Elephas maximus indicus: one gene and its partner. The protein of the gene in region 1 interacts with the protein of each later gene in a biochemical or structural test. Links are inferred from orthologs where the notes say so. Each region holds a gene or a part of one and is shown in the gene's direction. Other genes may lie near its edges.

What was found.
Region 2: the proteins of RAD18 (region 1) and HLTF form a complex in vitro, tested with the Homo sapiens proteins (2 studies listed by BioGRID). The link is inferred for Elephas maximus indicus from reciprocal best matches to the Homo sapiens genes RAD18 and HLTF.

The regions. Positions count from the first base shown.
Region 1 is NC_064838.1:33,901,090-33,912,130, reverse strand, and holds the start of RAD18 (E3 ubiquitin-protein ligase RAD18), read left to right. Parts: upstream 1-6,935; 5' UTR 6,936-7,034; coding exon 7,035-7,085; intron 7,086-10,701; coding exon 10,702-10,783; intron 10,784-11,041. UniProt on the Homo sapiens protein: E3 ubiquitin-protein ligase involved in postreplication repair of UV-damaged DNA. Postreplication repair functions in gap-filling of a daughter strand on replication of damaged DNA.
Region 2 is NC_064841.1:10,842,066-10,852,644, forward strand, and holds the start of HLTF (helicase-like transcription factor), read left to right. Parts: upstream 1-6,426; 5' UTR 6,427-6,637; coding exon 6,638-6,657; intron 6,658-8,132; coding exon 8,133-8,340; intron 8,341-8,358; exon of another isoform or gene 8,359-8,770; intron 8,771-10,579. UniProt on the Homo sapiens protein: Has both helicase and E3 ubiquitin ligase activities. Possesses intrinsic ATP-dependent nucleosome-remodeling activity; This activity may be required for transcriptional activation or repression of specific target promoters.

The DNA.
Region 1 (11,041 bases):
AAGTATGTGTTTAGTGTTGTCATTTTGATGCCTTTTTATGTGTGTTGTTGACAATTTCAATTTTCCACTTACTTTTTTGTGCTGAGATGTTTTTCTTTGTATATTGTGTGTTCCTCATTCTCATAGTATTTGACTTTATGTTTGCTGAGTCGTTACGTTTTTCTTGGTTTTTATTTTGAGTTATGGAGTTGTTATACCTCTTTGTGGTTACCTTAATACTTACCCCTATTTTTCTAAGTAAAAACCTAAATTGTATTGTCCCATAACGCCTTGTATCCCTCTCCATATGGCAGTTCTATGCCACCTATATTTAGTCCCTTTTTTTGATTATTGTCATCTTTTACATATTGACTTCAATGATTCCCTATTTTGAGCATTTTTTTTTTAATTGATCTTAATTTGTTTTTGTGATTTCCCTATTTGAGTTGATATCAGGATGTTCTGTTCTGTGACCTTGTGTTGTGCTGGTATCTGATATTATTGGTTCTCTGACCTAACAATTTCCTTTTAGTATTTCTTGTAGCTTTGGTTTGGTTTTTGCAAATTCTCTAAGCTTGTGTTTATCTGTAAATATCTTAATTTCGCCTTCATATTTCAGAGAGAGTTTTGCTAGATATATGATCCTTGGCTGGCAGATTTTCTCCTTCAGTGCTCTGTATATGTCATTCCATTGCCTTCTTACCTGCATGGTTTCTGCTAAGTAGTCTGAACTTATTCTTATTGATTCTCCCTTGTAGGAGACCTTTCTTTTATCCCTGGCTGCTTTTAAAATTTTCTCTTTATCTTTGGTTTTGGCAAGTTTGATGATAATATGTCTTGGTGTTTTTCTTTTTGGATCAATCTTAAATGGAGTTCGATGAGCATCTTGGATAGATATCCTTTCGTCTTTCATGATGTCAGGGAAGTTTTCTGTCAGTAGATCTTCAACTATTTTCTCTGTGTTTTCTGTCCTCCCTCCCTGTTCTGGGACTCCAATCACACGCAAGTTATCCTTCTTGATAGAGTCCCACATGATTCTTAGGGTTTCTTCATTTTTTTTAATTCTTTTATCTGATTTTTTTTCAGCTATGTTGGTGTTAATTCCCTGGTCCTCCAGATTTCCCACTCTGCATTCTAATTGTTCGAGTCTGCTCCTCTGACTTCCTATTGCGTTGTCTAATTCTGTAATTTTATTGTTAATCTTTTGGATTTCTGAATGCTGTCTCTCTACAGATTCTTGCAACTTATTAATCTTTCCACTATGTTCTTGAATAATCTTTTTGAGTTCTTCAACTGTTTTATCAGTATGTTCCTTGGCTTTTTCTGCAGATTGCCTTATTTCATTTCTGAGGTCATCCCTGATGTCTTGAAGCATTCTGTAAATTAGTTTTTTATATTCTGTATCTGATAATTCCAGGATTGTATCTTCATTTGGGAAAGATTTTGATTCTTTTGTTTGGGGGGTTGTAGAAGCAGTCATGGTCTGCTTCTTTATGTGTTTTGATATCGACTGCTGTCTCTGAGCCATCACTAAGATATTGTAGTGATTTATTCTATATTTGCTCACTGAGTCTTATCTTGCTTTGTTTTCTTTCAATATATGTGGATGGGCTACTAGATTGTGCCGTCTTGATTGTTGTAGCCCTTGACTTACTTATGACCTATTACCAGCTGGTTTGGGCTGTTACCAGATATATATGCCTGAGTCCATTCACTATTCTTGAGTAGAACCTGATTTTGGGGCATCAAGTGTGTGATGCACCCTATCACCTACCCACCTTGAGAAGTAGTTGTGATAGTTGTGTGCACCAGATTCTAGTAGAAGCTGGGGTTCACACTCTGGGGGGGCAGGATGCTGACAGGCTTCCCCCAAGTGTCAGTGAGGTAGGTGTGTCTCTATTCCTAAAGCACCTTGGTGGGTGGGCTCTGCAGCTGTACGTTAGGTCCCCAATGCAAGTACCTCTACAGATTGGTAGGTGTCACCCTCCTTAGACCCCTAAGGCAGGAGGCTAGGTGGTCTAGGGGGAGCTTCAGCTTCAGTTCCCTGTTGTGGGTCAGTGAGGGCTCTGTTGAATACGCAGAGATATCAGACCTGGGAAACTTGTCTTTCCAGTAAATCTGCTAAAAAAAAAATGCAGTCAGATCCCTATCAGAAACGCCTTTGCATTATAATAGCCACCTTGTTCCCTATAGGGTTGAAAGCCGGAGAGGGTGGATCACATATGCTTGGCTGGAGCTGGTTCTGTGTTTTTAGTCCAATTAGGGAAGGATTTTTGGTCCCTGTGTTTTTTGTGGTTGCTTCTCTCAGGCCGGAAGAATGGGTTAGGAAAAGACCAAAAAAAGAAAAAAGGGGGAAAAAAAAAACCCGCGGAGCAGTTCTCCCTCTGGCTCAGGAAATTCCAATGTTAATGAAGCCGCCTGACTGGGACGCTGGCTCCAGGCTCCGAAAACAATCTCTGCTTCCCTGTAGTTGTTCATTCTCCATCTCTGTCACTCAGGTCAACTCTTTAAATCTGTGTTTGCTGGTCATGGTTCGTAGATTGTCATGTATGTGATCGATTCACTTGTTTTTTCTGAGTGTTTGTTGCAAGATGGATCCGAGGTAGCGTCTACCTAGTCAGCCATCTTGGCCCCCCTCTCAAGCTGTGTGATCTTGAATGAGTTCCTTTGCTTTCTGAGATTTGGTTCCCATGTCTACAAAATGTGAATAATTCTCGTGATGGAATCCTGAGAATATTCTGTAGTGGTTAATATGAACTCTTAAACTACACTGTCCAAGTTAAAATACCTCCTCTTCCACTCACCAGCAAGGTGCCCTGGGCAAGTTACCTGCTTACCTCATTTGATTGGGGTGTGTCTTAAATCAATACGTGTAAAAGCACTGAGAACAGAGCTTTTCATACAAAACAAATCAGAAAACCAGTTATCAGCAAGTCAATACCAACTTATGGTGACCCCATATGTATCAGGGAGCCCCGGTGGCTCGGTGGTTAAGAGCTATAGCTGCTAACCAAAAGGTCAGCAGTTGAATCCATCTGCTGCTTCTTGGAAACCCTATGGGGCCAGCAGCTCTCCTCTGTCCTATAGGGTCACTATGAGTCAGAATCGACTGGACGCTGACGGGTGTGTGTGTCAGATTAGAACTGTGCTCCATAGGGTTTTTAATGGTTAATGTAGGTTACCAGGTCATTCTTAACCATTTGTACCACCCAGGGACTCTGCTTTGAATACAAGTACCTAGTAAATGTCAGCTACTATTGTAATGGATGTTGAAGTCCTTTGTGCAAATGCTGTATACTATTGCTATTACCCAATGAGTATTTGCAGACAGGCTGGGAAAAATCAGGGGCCAGAGATTCCTTTCAACAAGATCCCAAAGGAGTGAAGCCAAGGCTTAACTTCTCTGAACTCCAGTGTCCTTTTCTGTAGAATGACTATAACAACTTTACCTCTGCCTACTTCACAGGGAAGCTTGTGATGGTTAAGATTGTGTGTCAACTTGGCTAAGCCATGATTCTCAGTGTTCGTACGTGAATACACCCATGATGGGATCTGCTGTGAGTAGTCAATCAGTTGAAAGGGAGTTTCCTTGGATATGTAGCCTGCATCCAAATATAAGTGGATGTTTGTTCGAACTTTTGCCCTTTCTGGATCCTACAGCTGCCTCTTGTTCATCTGACCTCCGGTTTCTCAGACTTGAGCTAGCAGCTTACCTGCTGATCTTGGGATTCGTTGATCGTCACAGCCTGTGAGCTATAGTCCTGCTCTCTGACCTGCTGATCTTGGGTTCACCAGCCCCTGTAGCTATGTGAATCAGGGGAAGGCTTGCAGTATTGCCTGCTGATCTTGGGATTTGTTGACCTTCACAGCCTGTGAGCAAGAGCCCTGCTCTCCAACCTGGTGATCTTGAGTTCGACAGCCCCTGCAGCTATGTGAATCAGGGGAAGCCTCTATTCTGACCTATGGACTTGGCGTGCTCCAGCCTCTTTAAACACGTGAGCTGTTTCCTTGATATAAATCTCTCTCTCTATGTATATAATTACATGCTTTACTGGTTTTGCTCCTCTAGAGAGCCCAGCCTAAGACAAAGCTCAAGTGCCTGGCCCATGGTAAGCACAGGGTGACAGTGACAAGCTGCAGGGCTCTGCCCTTAGCCAAATATCTGTTCTTACTTGCTGTCCGTGAGACATGGTGCAACAGAGGTCCCCATAAGTCAGTAAATAAATGCTGAGTTGAGCAGACAGGCTGGAAACTGAGCTGGTCAGTGTTTCTCATGTGGGCAGCAGGCCCTCTCATATTATCAGTGAAAGTGTAAATGTATTGGTATGAAATTTTTTGGAGAACTATTTACTGCTAGCTATCACAGTTTTAAAAGAGCAACAAATTGGCTGAGTAGTTCCATTTCTAGGACATCACCCCCCAGATACCTTGGAAAAAGTGTGCCAAGGTTTATACAGGTGAATGCGTTCACTGCAGCTCTTTGTAATAGTGAGAAACTGGAAACAATCTCAACGTCCTTGTCTTAGTTACCTAGTGCTGCTGTACCAGAAGTACCACAAGTGGGTGGCTTTAAAGAACAGAAATTTACTTTCTCACAGTTCAGGGGTGTAGAAGTCAGAATTCAAAGTGTGGCTCGAGGCCCTTCCTTGTTTATTTTCAGCTTCTAGAAGCTGCCAGCAATCCCTGGAGCTCCCGGGCTTATAGACGCATCTGTCCCCTTAGTCTGTCTTCCTCTTCCCCCTGTGTTCCTGTCTGTATGTACATATTTGCTCTTTTTGTAACTCAGAAGTGATTAGGTTTATGACTCACCATACGCTGGTATGACTTCATTAACATAATAAAAGTTGTTGTCATTGTTAGGTGCCCTCAAGTTAGTTCGAACTCATAGCGACCCTATGTACAACAGTACAAAACTTTGCCTAGTCCTCCATCCTCACAATTGTTGCTATGTTTGAGCCCATTGTTGCAAACACTCTGTTAGTGCATTTCGTTGAGGGTCTTACTCTTTTTCATTGATCGTCTACTTACCAAGCATGATGTCCTTCTCCAAGGACTGATCCCTCCTGATAACTTGTCCAAAGTACATGAGATGAAGTCTCGCCATCCTAACTTCCAAAGAACACTTCTTCTAAGCCAGACTTATTCATTCTTCTGGCAGTCCATGGTATGTTCAATATTCTTTGCCAACACCATAATTCAAAGGCACCAATTCTTCTTTGGTCTTCCTTATTAATTGTCCAGCTTTTGCATGCATGAGAGGTGATTGAAAACATCATGGCTTGGGTCAGGCATACCTTAGTCCTCAGAGTGACATCTTTGCTTTTCAACACTTTAAAGAGGTCTTTTGAAGCATATTTGCCCAATGCAATACATCATTTGATTTCTTGACTGCTGCTTCCACGGGCATTGATTGTGGATGTGAGTAAATGAAATCCTTGACAACTTCAATCCTTTCTCCATTTATCATCATGTTGCTTATTGGTCCAGCTGTGATGATTTTTGTTTTCTTATGTTAAGGTGTAATTGATACTGAAGTTTGTAGTCTTTGATCTTCATCAGTAAGTGCTTCAAGTGCTTTTTACTTTCAGCAAGCAGGCTTGTGTTATTTGCATACCGCAGGTTGTTAATGAGTCTTCCACCAATCCTGATGCCACGTTCTTCTTCTAAAAGAAAACTTCCTGTTTCCAAACAAGGTCACACTTACAGGTACAGAGATTAAGTATTCAACATTCAATCCATATCACACCTCAATATGGGAGTAGATGAATAAATTTTGGTACATCTATTTTATGGATTATGTAGCTATTAAAAAGAATAAGGTAAACTATATGTACTAGCATGGAGAGATCTCAAGATGTATGGTTAAGCAAACAAACCAGGGCTTTGTACCAGTTCCTACCAGTTTGAAACCCCTGCTGAGAATTTGCATTTCCACCCCAGATATACTGAATCAGAATCTACATTTTAACAAGATCCCCAGGTGATTCCAACAAATTCCCAGGCAGTTATACATAAGAATCACCTGGGGTCTTGTTAAAATGTAGATTCTGACTCAGTATATCTGGGGTGGAAATGCAAATTCCCAGCAGGGAACTTCTTAGAAAATGCACGTTCTCAGCCAGGGTTCCAACTGGAAGGAACAGGTCAAAGCCCTGAAACAAATGCACACAAGAAAAACAAGTTGTCTGAGTTATGCATTTAATATAACATTTGTGGGGAAAATGTATCTATGTTTATATTTGCATAGGAAATACACGGAAGTCTGTATGCCGTTGTCACCAATGATCATGAAGATGGCACGGAACCTGGCAAAGTTTCTTTCTGTTATACATAAGGGGCCCCACGAGTCGACCAACTTGATGGCAACTAGCAACAACATAGTCCAAAGTTAACAGTGATTATCTCTAAAGAGCGGGACTAACTTTTAAACGAACATTTTCGTTTAGGTAAAAGAAAGAGCTTCACATTTAAAACCCAGAGGCTAGATTTGGAGTTTGGTCGATACCACTGCTTGACTTAAGGAAACTTCACTTTTTTGGACTGCATCTTCTTCTTGTGTAAACTGACAATGATAATACCTACCTCCCGGTGTTGTGATAGGGAGTGGCGTGAAATAATGGATATGATAACCCCTGTTCAGAGCAGGCTCAGATCAATACAGCAATCAGGGAGGGCGACCCGAAGGAGGAGGGATAAGCCTGACCTCGAAAGATTTGGCAAGGCTTGGATTTGGCTTATTTTGATTCCTGAATGCCTTTTCCTAACATTCGATAGCCATCTATTTGTCAAAGATCTGGTACAAAACGGTCTCCAAGCCTTTGAATCACCCATCCTTCCCCTTCATCGGTGAGAGGCAGGGCATAACCCCGGCGCGTGCGCAGTGCGAGCACCTTTGGCTGCGCCCCGCCCACGTACTACAGCTCCCGGCAGGCTTCGCGCAGGCCGTAGCTGCGTCGTGGACTGATGTCGTGGCTCAGTAGCGCGGGGAATTTCGAGTGGCCGTGGAGCGCGGGAGACCAGTGGGAGGCGGACCCCCAGCTTCCCCAGAAGCGACCATGGACTCCCTGGCCGAGCCCCAGTGGCCTCCAGGCCTAGCAGTCATGAAGGTGAGTGCTTCGGAGAGGGAGGGGGCGCCCAGGCGCCTGCCAAAGGCCGGACCAGCGTCAGGGGAAAGGACGAGTTGGCGAGCTGGGCCTGGGTTTTCGACCCTCTCTGCCTTTTGCTGTCCGCGTGCCTCTGCGCCTCAGTTTCCTCCCCTGAGAAGTGGCGAGGACAAGCCTCGGTGTGTCATGGTGGGCTGAGGTTGGCTTATGGAACCGGGTATTCTGCGGTTCAGCCATAACAGTAACAGTGACATCGAGAAAAACCAGTTACTGCAAACGGTGACAACGACGATGACAGCTAACCCTTTCAGAGGGCTTACTTTGTGCCAAGCAGTCCATAAGCTCTTACAGTACACTAGTTGAAAATTTACCAAAGTGACATTGGACATGATTTTGTGAGGACACTGCATCGAATAACATCCTGTAACGAAGCAGGTAATCTCTTTTATATTCTTTTTCATTTCTTCTAATTACTCTGTAGAGGCTTCGTGCTGGGTTGTGCTAACATATGCCCTAATTCCTCCCTACCATGTTCTAACAACTCTCTAACAATTCCTCATTTCCTTCTCTTTTAGACAAAGAGATCAGGACTCAAGGCTCAGCACTAGCCTTCAATAGATTAAAAAAAAAAAAAAAGATAGTTTCATTTAAATAAGCATTTATTTTTATGGCTACTTCCTGTTTTTTGGCAAGGCATACCAGTTTTTGATCACCTCTGGATTCCTGCTAGATTTGCTCAAGAACATGTTCACTTTGCTGTGCTGGATAGCATTTGTTGCTTGTTTTTTTTACCTTTGTGATTGTGGGGAGGATCACTTTCTTGTTCTTTTCCTCGTTTGTAAACTGGGGATTATGGTATCTGTTCCTCTAACTTGTAAGACTGACTTTGAGGATCAAGTGAAGGGACTTGGGGAGGCTAGCATAATGATAAGACCTTGTTCTTCCTACTGTCAGCAAGTGTCATCTCTTGTGCTTGGGGACTTAAGACATCCTCATTTTACACTACAAAGAGTGGAAGGATCCAGGAGAACTGTGGTTTCGAAGTTGTGGTGGCTTTGGTGCCAAGATAGAGTGGAGAAAAGCATAAATTTTGAGCTCCAATTGTTCTGGGTTAAATCTGGACTTTGCCTCTTATTAACTGTGACCTTGAGTCAGTTACTTAACCTCTTTGAGCTTCAGTATCCTCAACTCTAAACTGGAGGCAAAAATGAACAGTTCATGTTGTTCTTAATTGTTGTCAAGTCAGCCTCTGACTCATGGCGACCTCATGCACAATGGAATTAGACTGTTGTAATGCATATTTCATTGGCAGATTTTTGAAAGTAGATTGCCAGGCCTTTCTTCCTGGCCTGCCTTTCTTCCTAGTCTAGAAGCTTTGCTGAAACTTGTTCAGCATCAGAGAAACATGTAAGCCTCCACTGACAGATGGGTGGTGGTGACTTTGCTGGAGTGGAACCTCAGTCTCCTATATGGAAGGCAAGAATTCTACCACTGAACCACCGCTGCTGTCTGAAAACAGTTCATAGGATTGATTAAACGAGTTGATGTATGTGGGTTGGGATCCTTTTGCTTTGTTCATTGTGGTTAACACGGCATATAGTGGGTGCTTAACAATTATTTGTTGACTGATTGAAGGTATCTGAAATGTAGTAAGAATTGAATTAATTTATCTTTATTACTATTAGCAGAAGCCTGCACTGGTGGTGCAGTGGTTAAAGCACTCAACTGCTGACCAAAATTTGACAGTTCAAACTTAACACTGCTTGCAGGAAAAAGATGTGACAGTCTGCTTCTGTAAACATTTACAGCCTTGGAAACCCTATGCGGCAGTTCTACTCTGTCCTAAAGGGTTGCCAGGAGTCGGAATCGACTGGATGACGGTGTGTTTGGTTTTGGGGTTTATTGTTATTAGCATTTAATGAGTTCTGTGCCCTTCCTTCTCCTTTTTATTTGCTGTTTGAAGATTGAATTAGATAGAGAAAGCCAAAGAGCTCTGTAACCTGTACATCTACTGGCTTTGTAGACTTCAGCATATTTTATGTGTTTTCACAACTTCCACAGTGTTCTCCAGTGGCAGCTTCCCTGTCTTCTCTGACTGTATGTATACATATGTGTATAAATCCAACCAGACTCCAGCTCTTTATATAAATAAATACAGGGTTCAGCACCAGAGAGTGTTCAATGCTGGGGCTGACTGAACCCATATTGGGCTCACATTTGAATCACGGAATATTGAGGTGGGGAAACCAGCCCCCTCCAGTATTTTAATACTTTTTGTAATGTATCTGCCACTTTCTCAGTTTTGGGATACTGATGCTATAGACTTCGTAAGATTGTTATGAAGATTAAACTACATAATTACCATTATTATGTATTATTGTTGATTTGGTCTCTGATTTTTTTTTAATTTCCATCAAAACATGAACATTTTCCTATTGCATTAATTATTCTTTGAAAATGTGTTTTTTAATGGTTATGTAATTTCTTCATGTGTACTATCAGTAACAGCGTTTTCGTTTTGGTTACTTTTTCCAAATTTAGGCAATATACTAACATGGTTTAAGAAATACATAAAATGAGAAGTAGAAGCCTCCCCTCTACCTTGTCCCTCATTTCTGCAGTTTTCTGACCCCCAGTGTCCATTATCTGTTATTTTCCTATGCATCTTTTCAGAATTTCTTTATATGTATATGTAAGATAAAAATGGAATGCATTCTTACCCCACCCCGCCATACTTTGGACAAAAGGTAGCATACCACGTGTGTTGCTTACACCTTGCTTACTTCTTTTACCTCACTACGTATTTGGGCCATCTTTCCGTATCAATACATAGGGGAACACCCTCTTTTCCTTTTTAGTATTTGCTCAGGATTGTACTGAGTGGATTAGCATTTTAATGTAATAAGATTTAAGTTGCTAGAATAGATCCTTTCCTGTTTGGATTGCGTTCCAGGTTGACACACAGCTGTTGGGCTTTCCGTACTGTCCACTCCTTTATCTGCCTTTGCTGTCACCAGCCTCAGCCATTCCCAGGGCTCCCTCATTTGACTCTACCGTGTAGTACAGTGCAGAAAGCACTAGACTGCAAGTAGGGAGGCGTCATTTTAGCCCTGGCTTGCCCGGTGCCCGTATTGGATACAAGTTTCCTCATTTGTGAACTAAGGGCTTTAACTAGATCACTTCCAATGTTTGGCTTTAATATTCTCAGATTTGGTTCTTAACCTGTGTGGTGACTATGGCTGCTGGTCCCTTTCACCCCAATAGTGACTGCAGGCCAGGGGATGGGGTAGAAGAAAAGGCCTGGAGTAAGAGGTAGAAACGCATGGGAAGCGAGGCAGAGCTAGAGTAGCCCTTTTGTGAAGGGCTGACAGTAGGGCACAGGGATCTGTGTCAAGTGTATCTGTTCAAAGCAGCTTGGGTAACCCGAGATGTGAATGTGTAAGAATCATATGGATGAGGTTGTTCTCTATTTGTCAAGAGCCTCTGCAGTTTATCTGGAATTAGCTTTTGAGTTTGCATATTTGTCAAAGAAGTATCATTAAGTTATTTTTTAGGGGTTGGAGAAAGAATTGTGTAGCAGATATTCTAACCATGGTATATACGTATTTTTACGTTTCAGACGATAGATGATTTGCTGCGGTGTGGAATTTGCTTTGAATATTTCAACATTGCAATGATGATTCCTCAGTGTTCTCATAACTGTAAGTGGGTATTGTTTCTGTAACCTAGTGACAGTGTGATTTTTACGTAAGGTAGTGTTAATTGAACACCAAAGATAAGTGCACGTATTTATTTCTGATGTTTAACTCATGTCTTCTGTATCACCTCCCTCTTGAATATTGAAGTTTTTATAAGGCTCCTGTCTTACCTGCCACCCCCCTCTTGAATATTTCTATGGCTTTTATCATTTAAGGCAGCAAAGATTTTGGTCATAATATATGATTTTTATTTGCCAAGTA
Region 2 (10,579 bases), on another chromosome or scaffold:
ATCTGCAAAAGAGACTGCAGAGAGAAAACGAAATCTCGTCCTTTTATATAATCAGGCAGGTATAGTCTATGACATACATATCTAATTAAGAAAAATTTTACTTGGCATTAATTTTACGTTATTTCCTCTGCCCAGTCAACTGTGGTTTCACCTAGGATTCTACCCGGAATAAATGTGAGAAAATTCAATTGTAAATAACTGACTCACACACACAAAAAATTTTCTATCATTTCCTCTGCCTTATTCTCTTTGGTTACTTAAAAAGAAGGCTCAGAAATAGTATTGCACCAATGTTAATTTCCTGGCTTTGATAACTGCACTATAGCTATGCAGGGTGTTAAAGTAAATGAGGTAAGGATATGAGGGAACTCTGTACTATTTTTGCAACTTTCTGTGTCTAAAATTTGTTAATAAAAGTTAAAAATTGGTTCATAACTTCCTTACTCTAAATATTTTACATTTTTTGTTATAGCAAAAAAGCAATACATGTTTAATATAAAGAACATTTTCCATGCATATAAGGACCAAGAAGAAAATGAAAATTCCCCTAATTCAAACAGCTAGAGGTATCTGCTATATCTAGGTGTCAATTCACCGAGATATGTGTGTATATGTCTGCACAGCATATATGAACACCTATCACTAACTCTGTTTGCCAAGATAAAACTTTATTTTTGTTTATTGAACTTAATTTGTTTTAGGCCTCCGGTTTGCCTAAAAAAAAAAAAAATTAACTTAGTGACTTCCAGGTAGTTCAGTAAGGAGCCCTGGTGGTACAACGGTTAAATGTTTGGCAGCTAACCCAAAAGGTCTGTGGTCTGAACCTTCCCGCTGCTCCTCCAGAGAAAAGACCTGGCAATCTGCTCCTATAAAGACTACAGCCTAGGAAACCCTATGGGGCAGTTCTACTCTGTCCTATAGGGTTCTATGAGTTGGAATCAACTTCAAAACACAAAACAAAAATAGGCAATTCATTCATTTTAAGATTTAAGTTCTTTCAATTTCAGGTTTCAAATTCTGTCCCCTTCCTCTCACCCTCCCCCCAAAAAACTCAGCTGCCATTGAGTCAACTCTAACTCATGGGGATCCCACCTACGTGTGTTGGAGTAGAACTGTGTTCTGTAGGGTTTTCAATGGCTGATTTTTCAACAAAAGATCACCAGGCCTTTCTTCCAAGACTCAAGCCTTTAATTTTTGGTTAACAGCCAAGTGCATTAACCTTTTATACCAATCAGAGACTCCCTTATCTTCCAGGAGGATTATATTTGGATTCCATTCATTTCTGCAGGCAGCCACTGCTGATATAATTTATCCTGCTTCATCTTTGGACATCAGGCCCCTGCTTCTGGTTGCTAGAACCATGATCTGGTAAGGGCCTCCTACCTTCACTGACTCACTAGGGAGTCTCACAGGATTCTGGAAGGCTGTCCTCAGGCCCTTTCACAAAACCTTCTCCCTCACCTTCATTTCTTTATTCCTCTGGCATGTTTCTGGTCTCTGAGGCTGTGCAGATATGCAGAATACTGAAGCTACTGTAGGGAAATGAGCTACAGCTTCCTTTGCTTATGGGGTCTCTGGAAACTTTCCTGCCTTTGTGGAGCTTGGCCCAAAGTGATAGCATTCCTGATTCTTTCCCTAAGACCCTCCAAGCTTTCATTCCTGATCCTGAAAATTCTCTGGCTCTGTTGAACTTTCTCCCCTTTTGAGTGAAAGAAACAAACAAACAAGCTCTTATATTATCATTCATTTTCCTGGAATCTATTATGATGTAAACTTGGGAATTTTTTGTATGGAAGCCAGACTTTTAGAACTCCAGAGTCTTTGCCTAAGTTTTTTTTTTTTCTTTTTTTTTTTACCAAAGGCTTCAAAATTCCATTTTGTAAACCAACTGTAAAAGGACATTTTTTGAGACAATTGTGAAAATTTGATAATGAACTAGTTATTAGAATGCATCAAGGATTGATTTATTATTAATTATATTGGGTAGGGTAATGGCCTTATGGTTATATACAGTTACACTTGTGAAAGCTGGAGCCTATGTAAGGCAGAAACCTGTCAGAGAAGGAAAACTCAAACATTTTCCACTAAAACGAGCGATAGCAAAGTGTTATTAACACTACATCCTGTCAAAGGTAGAAAACTCACAAGACCCAGAAAAACAAGGCAGTCCTGTTGCATTCTGGCTCTCACAGGTTTCACTGTATAAAAGTACCTGTATTTTTTAGAGAAGTCAGTAAAGGACATTATAGGCAGTGTGGGGCGGGAAGTGACAAAAGATATGAGGCTGGAATAAGAGGGAAGGAACAGATCTTAAATAGCCACACATGCCATTCTTTGATTTCATGCTGATGGCATTAGACTGATATAATTAATTTGGACGACCAGTAGCCAAAACCAAATCTGTTTCCACTGAGTCAATTTTGACTCAGTGCGACACTATAGGACAGAGAACTGCCCCATAGGGCTTCCAAGGAGCAGGTGGTGGATTCGAACTGCCAACCTTTTGGTTAGCAGCCTAGCTCTTAACCACTGTGCAACTAGGGCTCCTCTATATGTACAGGTGTTAGGATTCCAACACATATTTTTTTTGGGGGGGGGAACAATAATTAAAGCCATTATCATCTCTTACCTGAATACAATGGTTTCTAATTATCAACTGAGGGTCCCTTTGCTTCTGTTCTTGTTTCCTGTAATTCATTAACCCCAGAACCGCCAGCGTGATTTTTTTAAAAGACTAAATCAGCTTGTCATTCTCCCGCTTCAAATATTAAATGGTTTGCCATGGCATTTAAAATAGAATACATCTTTGCTCTAGACCATGAATTCCTATGTAATCTGGCCTATACCTTCCCCATCACCCTCTTTTTATGCCACTCTCCTCCTCACAACCACACAAGCCACCCTACTACAGTTTTGTTTCTTTTCAGTTACAAATGTTTAGTTCATTTTCCAGAAAACATCTAGTGTGATATTTTCGAATTTGTAACTGTTGTAACATTTCAATCCAACTAGTACAAACTGCACTTAACCTCATTTTTTTTTTTAAAAAAGAAAGGACAAAGAATAATGAGACAGAACCCCCACAGTGCTATGTTCTTCCTCCCCTACAGTGTTGTATTGCAAAATTGTTTCCTTTGCTGAGCTCCCCCACTCAGCTTTGCATCTGAGTGCTGCTTTTCCTTGGAGATTCTATGTAAAACCAATTGCACCTGAATCATACCATCAGGAATGTTGCTGATGTAAGTTGTAGGAACTCCCTACTTGCAAACCCCTTTAAAAAGTAACCTGCCTGCCTGCCTTTGGGGAGCAGGTCGGCAGCATTAGCTCCAACTGACTCCATTTTCCTTGTACAAGGAAATACAGGTGACTTTCTTATTCTCCCACCTCCATCTCTCGTTTATTGGCCAATACGAGTCACGCCGAGTTAAGAACCTGGGGTTTCCACCCAGTAACAATCATGAAGTAAAAAACTGTGTCCAACCTGAACTGGTGGATCTGAGATGTAAGATAGTAACAATAGCGAGAAAAATGTTGACCTTAAACAGCAAAATTTTTACTTCATTCGAGAGGCAATCTTCAGCCATGGGGGTGTCATTATTCATAGATCTTAGGTCTAGAAAGAGCTAGGATCGCCTATATTCTCACATAATTTTATCTTTCTGTCTAATGAGCATGGATTCATTATTTTACAGGCAAAACATTATCGATCTGAGCATTTTCTGGCATATTTTCAAAGAATTTATGCAGAATTTGGCGCACCAAAAATGGAACTGCATTCCACTTGCCACTTAATACTTCAAGAAGAAAGGAAAATAACTAAGATACTTGAAATGCTACTATCTTCGTCTTCCTCATCGTCTGCCTTCTGTTTGGTGAGATAAATCAATAAATTGCTGCAAAACCTATCTCTCACTGCACTGCTGGCTCATGTTTACCAGCTGCCCTCTAGCTGATTGCGACTCATGACAGCCCACGTGTGTCAGAATAGAACAGTGCTCCATAAAGTTTTCAACACCTGATTTTTCAGAAGTTGATTGCTGGGACTTTCTAGGTGCCTGGGGATGGGCTTGAATTCCAACCTTTTGGTTAACAGCCTAGCATGGTTAACAGTTTGCACCACTCAGGGACTCTGGCTCAAGTTTACGGATCATCATAGTTTATTTAGGAGCCCTGGTGGCAAAGTGGTTAAGCACTCAGCCGCTACCCAAAAAGTTTGTGGTTCAAATCCACCAGCTGCTGCGAGGAAGAAAGATGTGACAGTCTGCTTCCGTAAAGATTTACAGCCTTGGAAACCTCAATGGGCAGTCCTACTCTGTCCTACGGGTTGATAATGCAATGGGTATAGTTTATTTAGGAAAATGAACAAATGTCTCTAGAAAAACTGCTTTACTGACTGCCTCTCTTACTCTCTTAATGGGACTGTAAAACGGAGCATTCTTTGAAGGGCAATTGTCAATATTTATCACATTTACAAATACATTTGCTCTTTGATCCCAGCAATTGTTTTCTGACAATCTGACAACTGCAATGTGCAAGTAGGTGTGGCTCAGAGCCATTACCAGCTTCATCCAATTCTGGTGCAGCTGAACCAAAAAGGCCTCTCTAATTGGTAGCAGCCTCTCTTTGGCTCCCAAGGCCGCAGAGCCGGCTGGTACCCGTCCTGCATGCCCTGGGCTACAGCCGCCTCACTGGCCCACCTACCAAAGGCTGAGTTCCCCTCAGACTCCTGCAATCTGGCCATGGAGTGTCTTGGACTGCCCCTAACAGTTCGTGGAGGAAAACAAGCTCCTTCCCTGGGGCAGCTACACGTGCCTCAGGGAAAACTTTGACCCAACCATTTCCAGCAATGGCTTTTGAGTTATCAATGCCCACAGAAACAGCAGTCAAGAAATCAAAAGACACACTGCACTGGACAATTCTGCTGCAAAAGACTTCTTTAAAGTATCATAAAGATATTACTTTGATGATTAAGATGCAGCTGACCCAAGCAGTGAAGCCGTGGTCTTTTCAACAGCCTCATATGCATGCAAAAGCTGGACAATTAAAAAGGAAGATCAGAGGAGAATTGGCACATTTGAATTGCGGTGTTGGCGAAGAATATTTAAAATACCTGGACTCCCAGAAGAACGAACAATTCAGCCTTGGAGGAAGTATAGCCAGGTGCTGCTTAGAAGTTAGGATGGCGAGACTCCATCTTGCTTACTTTGGACATGTCATCAGGAAAGACCAATCACTAGAAAAAGACACCATGTTTGGTAAAGAGTCATCAGGAGCCAGAGAAACCCTGCGTGAGATGCATGGGTGGATTATGCAATATGCAAGGTAAACACAGTCCTTACCTTGCTTACCAGATCATCTGTAGTGAACAATTCCACATTTTTTCACCACATCAAAAATTTTGCTTCCAGGTATGGCTGGCATCTGTCTCCCTCCCAGCCCCACAGCACCTCCCTACAGAATCAAAGCCTCTTTTCAAATTTACAACCCCTGACAGTAAGCAGGGTAAGCACAGGTTTACTTCTACCTACTTACTAATACGTAGTGCAGTTTCACACGGGTTTCACTTTGATGTGGCATGGTGAAATCCGTGTTAAATTGTTCACTAGAGATTAGTAAGCACAAGGAAGTCCGCACTTACTTTGTTTACTAGGTAATCCACCCCTGGTGAAATGGATTGACATGCTGGTTGCAACAATGCGTTCAAATTCTCCAAGGATTGTGAGGTTGGAGCAGGACCTGTTTCCTTCTATTATACATAAGGTTGCCTGAATCAGAACGATCAGACAGCAACTAAAAATAACAGTGCTGTGCTTTCCTGCATTAAGAAATGATAAATTTAATTAAAAACAACAACAAACACAACCAAAGTGGGAGAGGTGCTCTATAACTCTAAGTTCCAATTAAGATTTTCTGAAAACCGTCCAACTCATAAAACCAAAAACCAAACCCATTGCCATCGAGTCGATTCCGACTCTTAGCGATCCTAAGGACAAAGAACTGCCCCGTAGGGTTTCCGGGAAGCGGCTGGTGGATTCCAACTTATTCAATGGGAGACCCTATTCCATGTCCCATCAGAGGAGGAGAATATTGGAGGCAGGATCAGGGAGGGACTGAAGAATGAGGCTGAGGCTTAAGGCTGGGGGGGAAAGAGGAATGAAGAGACACTGCCCTGCGTTTGACGCAGAAAATCAAACAGAAAACCTAGTATCACGGGCACCGCAATCGGGCCCCGGGGACCGCGTGGCTTTCCCGCCCGCCCGCATTGGGGGCGGGGAAGGACCCGGATGGTCCCACCCCTGCAGCCCGGGCCCCCACCTTCGGTACATCGGAGCGCGGGGCGGAGTCGCCTTCCCCTCCGTGTTCTGATTGGCTTGTCTCCGTAGGCTCTTCTTCGCGATTGGACGCGCTCAGCGCCAGTCACACAGGGTCGCCGGTCTCTCGGATTGTTGGTAGCAGGGACAGCGTCGACGCCTGACTGGATTCGCGGCGTTTTATCGTCTAGTGGGGCGCTCTTCCTCGGGCGCTTGGAACCTGTCTCCGGCTTCCCGGCCGCGGGGCCTGGAAGGAGGCGTCCCCAGGCGACTGGAGAACGTTCCGGGGGCGCTCAGGAGCTCCCCTCGCCGCCCCGCGCAGCGCCATGTCCTGGATGTTCAGGAGGTACAGCGGCCGGAGGGGTGGGGCGCTGGGGTTAACCGAGCGGCGGCGTCCCCAGATGAACCTGACCTTCCCCGCGCCCCTGCCGCGCTTCCTCTGCTGTTTGCGCCGCTCGTATTTGTGGTGCCCGTCGCTCCTGGGGCCGCGGAAGAAATAAAGGCTGCAGATGGGTGGCCCCCCAGGCGAGTCTTAGGCCAGGGCCTTGGGAGGTCTCTGTCACGGGCTGTGGGGGCCTGGGGCTCCGTAGCCAGGATTCCGGCCGTGCTTTATTCCCCTAGCCGTCCCCTAGGGAGCCACTGTGCGCTGGCGTTGTGCTCGGGATGGAGGGCCGAGTGGCAGAGTCCTTGCCCCCGAGGGGCTTTGATCGGTTTATGAGCGTGCACAGACGTGCAGACACAGGCTTCCAGGGGAGCCAGAGAGGTCTGCGTGATGTGCGAGGCAAACGCAGGGAAAGGAGCGACTGCCCGAAAACCCAGTGCCGTCGAGTCGATTCCGACTCACAGCGACCCTACAGGACAGAGTAGAATTGCCCCATAGAGTTTCCAAGGAGCGCCTGGCGGATCCGAACTGTGGACCCTTCGGTTAGCAGCCGTAGCACTTAAACCACTACACCAGCAGGGTTTTAGGAGAGGGGAAACTTCCTGAAGGCCCCCCGCCCACCACACTCGCCCTCACTTTCATTGTCTGAATCGCTCTTCATGCCAATTCTGCATCATTTTATCCACGAGGGGCCTGGGGTGGTCCTGGAACCAGCGGGGAGAGGGCGGGGCTTGAGGTCAGCTCCCCGTGATGGCAGGGTTTGACTACCTGAGTGAGATAAGGATTCTTTGCGGAGGAAACGAAAGCAGTGAATGCTGCATAAGCTATCCGTGTCTACTGTAATAATCCAGGGATGGGCTGGATTATCTGTAAATATAGAAATTGCTGAGCCGTTTTGGCAAGTCTCTTCTAGCTCAATCCACATTGAAATATTGGCCTATAAGTGTAGTTACAGACATCACACATATACCATCTCATATAGATTGGTTATCCTTAGGCTAATCAAGAAATTTGTGAACACTGAACTCTGGTGGCATAATGCTTAAGAGCTACAGCTGCTAACCAAAAGGTCATCAGTTCGAATCCACCAGGCGCTCCTTGGAAACCCTATGAGGCAATTCTACTCTGTCCTTTAGGGTCGAAGTCAACTGGACGGCAATGGGGTTAGTGTTTTTTTTTTTTCCCATTCTGAATACCTTGGGTGTGGAGGAGGTTATGTTCAACAGGTAAGGTTCCTGGAAACCTCTCCTGCCCCAATCTCTGTTTTAACCAGGGTAACTCTTAGTGTATATTCAATGGTTCACACATTTGATTTCGTTTGCTGTGTGAGTAAAGTGTGAGAAAACTGGCCTATAGATAACTGGTATGGTCTTTGAGAAATACCTGGTTAAATATTGTAGTGTTTTTCGGTGACGACTTTTTTTTTTTTTTTTAAATAGAGATCCTGTTTGGAAGTACTTGCAGACTGTCCAGTATGGAGTCCATGGAAATTTTTCACGCCTTTCATACCCTACTTTCTTTCCCCGTTTTGAATTCCAAGATATTATCCCTCCAGACGACTTCCTAACTAGTGATGAAGAGCTAGATTCTGTTTTATTTGGAACTTTGAGAGGTCATGTTGTTGGACTACGCTATTATACAGGAGTAGTGAGTATAAAGTAGATATTAAGTTAAATTGTGACATATTTATGGTGTTAACCTAGAAAATAAGAGAATCTAAAAGGGGATATGTGCAGTTAATATTTATTTTTACTCTAAGTAATTGAATATATCCAGGCAAGAGATAATAGATAACTGAACTACTTTGACTTAATATTCTCTTATGCTTACAGTATACAAAGCACTTTGCCTGCACTGTTTCATTTGATCCCAGCAATAACTCTGAGGCAGATGGGACATCTGTATCCCCTTTTTATAATGAAGGAACTGAAGCTCAGAAAGGGGCTAAACATTTTGCCCAAAACACACGGATTACTAAATGGTGTATTTGGGAATGACTTCCCAGTCCATTGCCTTCTCCTCTTCTGGCCCTTAGTGCATTTCTGCATTTTAATTTTGGAAGATCAGCTCCTGCTGTGTAAGCGAATTGTCTATTGTTAAGAGCTTTTTGTCTTTTTTCTTTTCCTGTAGTGAAGACTGTCCCTGTCTCCCATTTTTTCTTTTCTTTTGTGCCTGTCTTTTTGTAGCTCTCTATCCTCTGCATTTTGTCTGTGTTGCGCGCGCGAGCGCGCGTGTGTGTCCGAAAGAGAATGTAACTTTCTCTGGTCGGTAATTTGTTATGGTGGTCTAGTATGCCTCTGTGTTACGTAATTTTGTTTATTATGAAAAATTTAAAACATACATAAAAGTAGACTATAAACTCCTGTATAACCATGATCTATATTCAACTGTTCACAAGATCTTTCCATATCTGCTTCGTGTATCCCTTTTTCCTTTTCTTTGTTCTTTTGTACTTTAAAGGAAATCCCAAACATATCAACATTTTACACCTGTATAATTCAGTGTGTATCTTTTTAAAACTACATTTTTGTGTCATTTGTATAGTGAAAGTTAATAATTTCTTCTTACATGTAAGAAGTAATTCATAATCAGATTTTCTTGTCTTTTTATAGTTGGTTTTTTCAAATCAGCATCAAAAGAAGGTTCATACATTACCTTTGGTTATTATACCTCGTAACCCTCCTGCCGTTTTTTTTCATGTCATTGACTTATTGTAGAAACCAGCTGTGTTATTCTGTAGAATGTTCTAGATTTGTTGCTTCTTCCACTGCCCCATGTTTTTCTTAGGTTGAAGCTTCTCAGATCGTTTTTTGGTTGTCTGAATCATGTTCTGCAGGAGATTTCCTTGCGTAGAAATTTTATGTTCTGGATTTGTCTATGCTTCTGTTTTCCCAATTTTTTTTTTATATTGAAAGTTTTTTTCAAGTCATTCTGTAGTTGTCTGAAAGATATTTACTAGGAAATTCTATGGAAAGGAACAATGTTTCCTCAGTTTTTACGTGTTCATAGTTGAGGAGTTTATACTTGAAGGGCAGTTTTGCTGAATATGTAATCCTTGGCCCATGTTTTCTTCCTATGTTACCTTAACGTTGCATAAAATATTACTGGTGAGAATCTTGATGCCAGTAGGGTTTTATCTCCCATATAAGTGTATTGGAATTTTTTTGCCTGGATGACCAAAGAATGTTTTTCCTTATCTTGAAAGTCCAATTGTTTTGTTATGGTATGTCTTACTTAGTATTGACTCTTCTGTAAGTTCAAATTTCCTTTTATTTCAGAAAATTTTCTGTAGCTTTAAATGTTTGTTTTGTTTCATAGCTTTAGTTTTTCTTCACTAATCTCTCTGTATGTTAGACTTTCTCAGCCCATGTCTATTATTTCCTTTGAAATCCTTTTTATTGCTTTCCTAATTTTCGTCATTTATTTCCCTTGCCATGTTTTTCACAAGTTCTGGTCACTCTTGTGTTATTTCTGCTTTTGTCTTCAATCCAGAAATGGTTTTTCTTTTTTCTAATTATTTCCTGAATTCTATTGGTTCTTATTTTATATCCATCTCTTGCCTAACCATGTAATTTCTATGCTTTTCTATTTCTGATTTGTTCTATTTTTTTTTAACTTATGTTGTTTTCTAAATTACTTTAAACAATGGTAAAATATTAGGTTATGGTTTTCTGCTGTGTTATTACTCTGAGCACAATCACTATTTGATATCAGAACAATCTTTATGACATTGGTAATCTAATAAAAATGTGGTAGGCCGATTAAAAGTCATCAGCATTTAATTTCTTCATTTTTTAAAAAAGGTGTGTTGTTTATTTTATATGTAATGCTGATGAAAAGTCATTAGCATTTAATTTCTTTATTTTTACAAAGGTGTATTATTTAT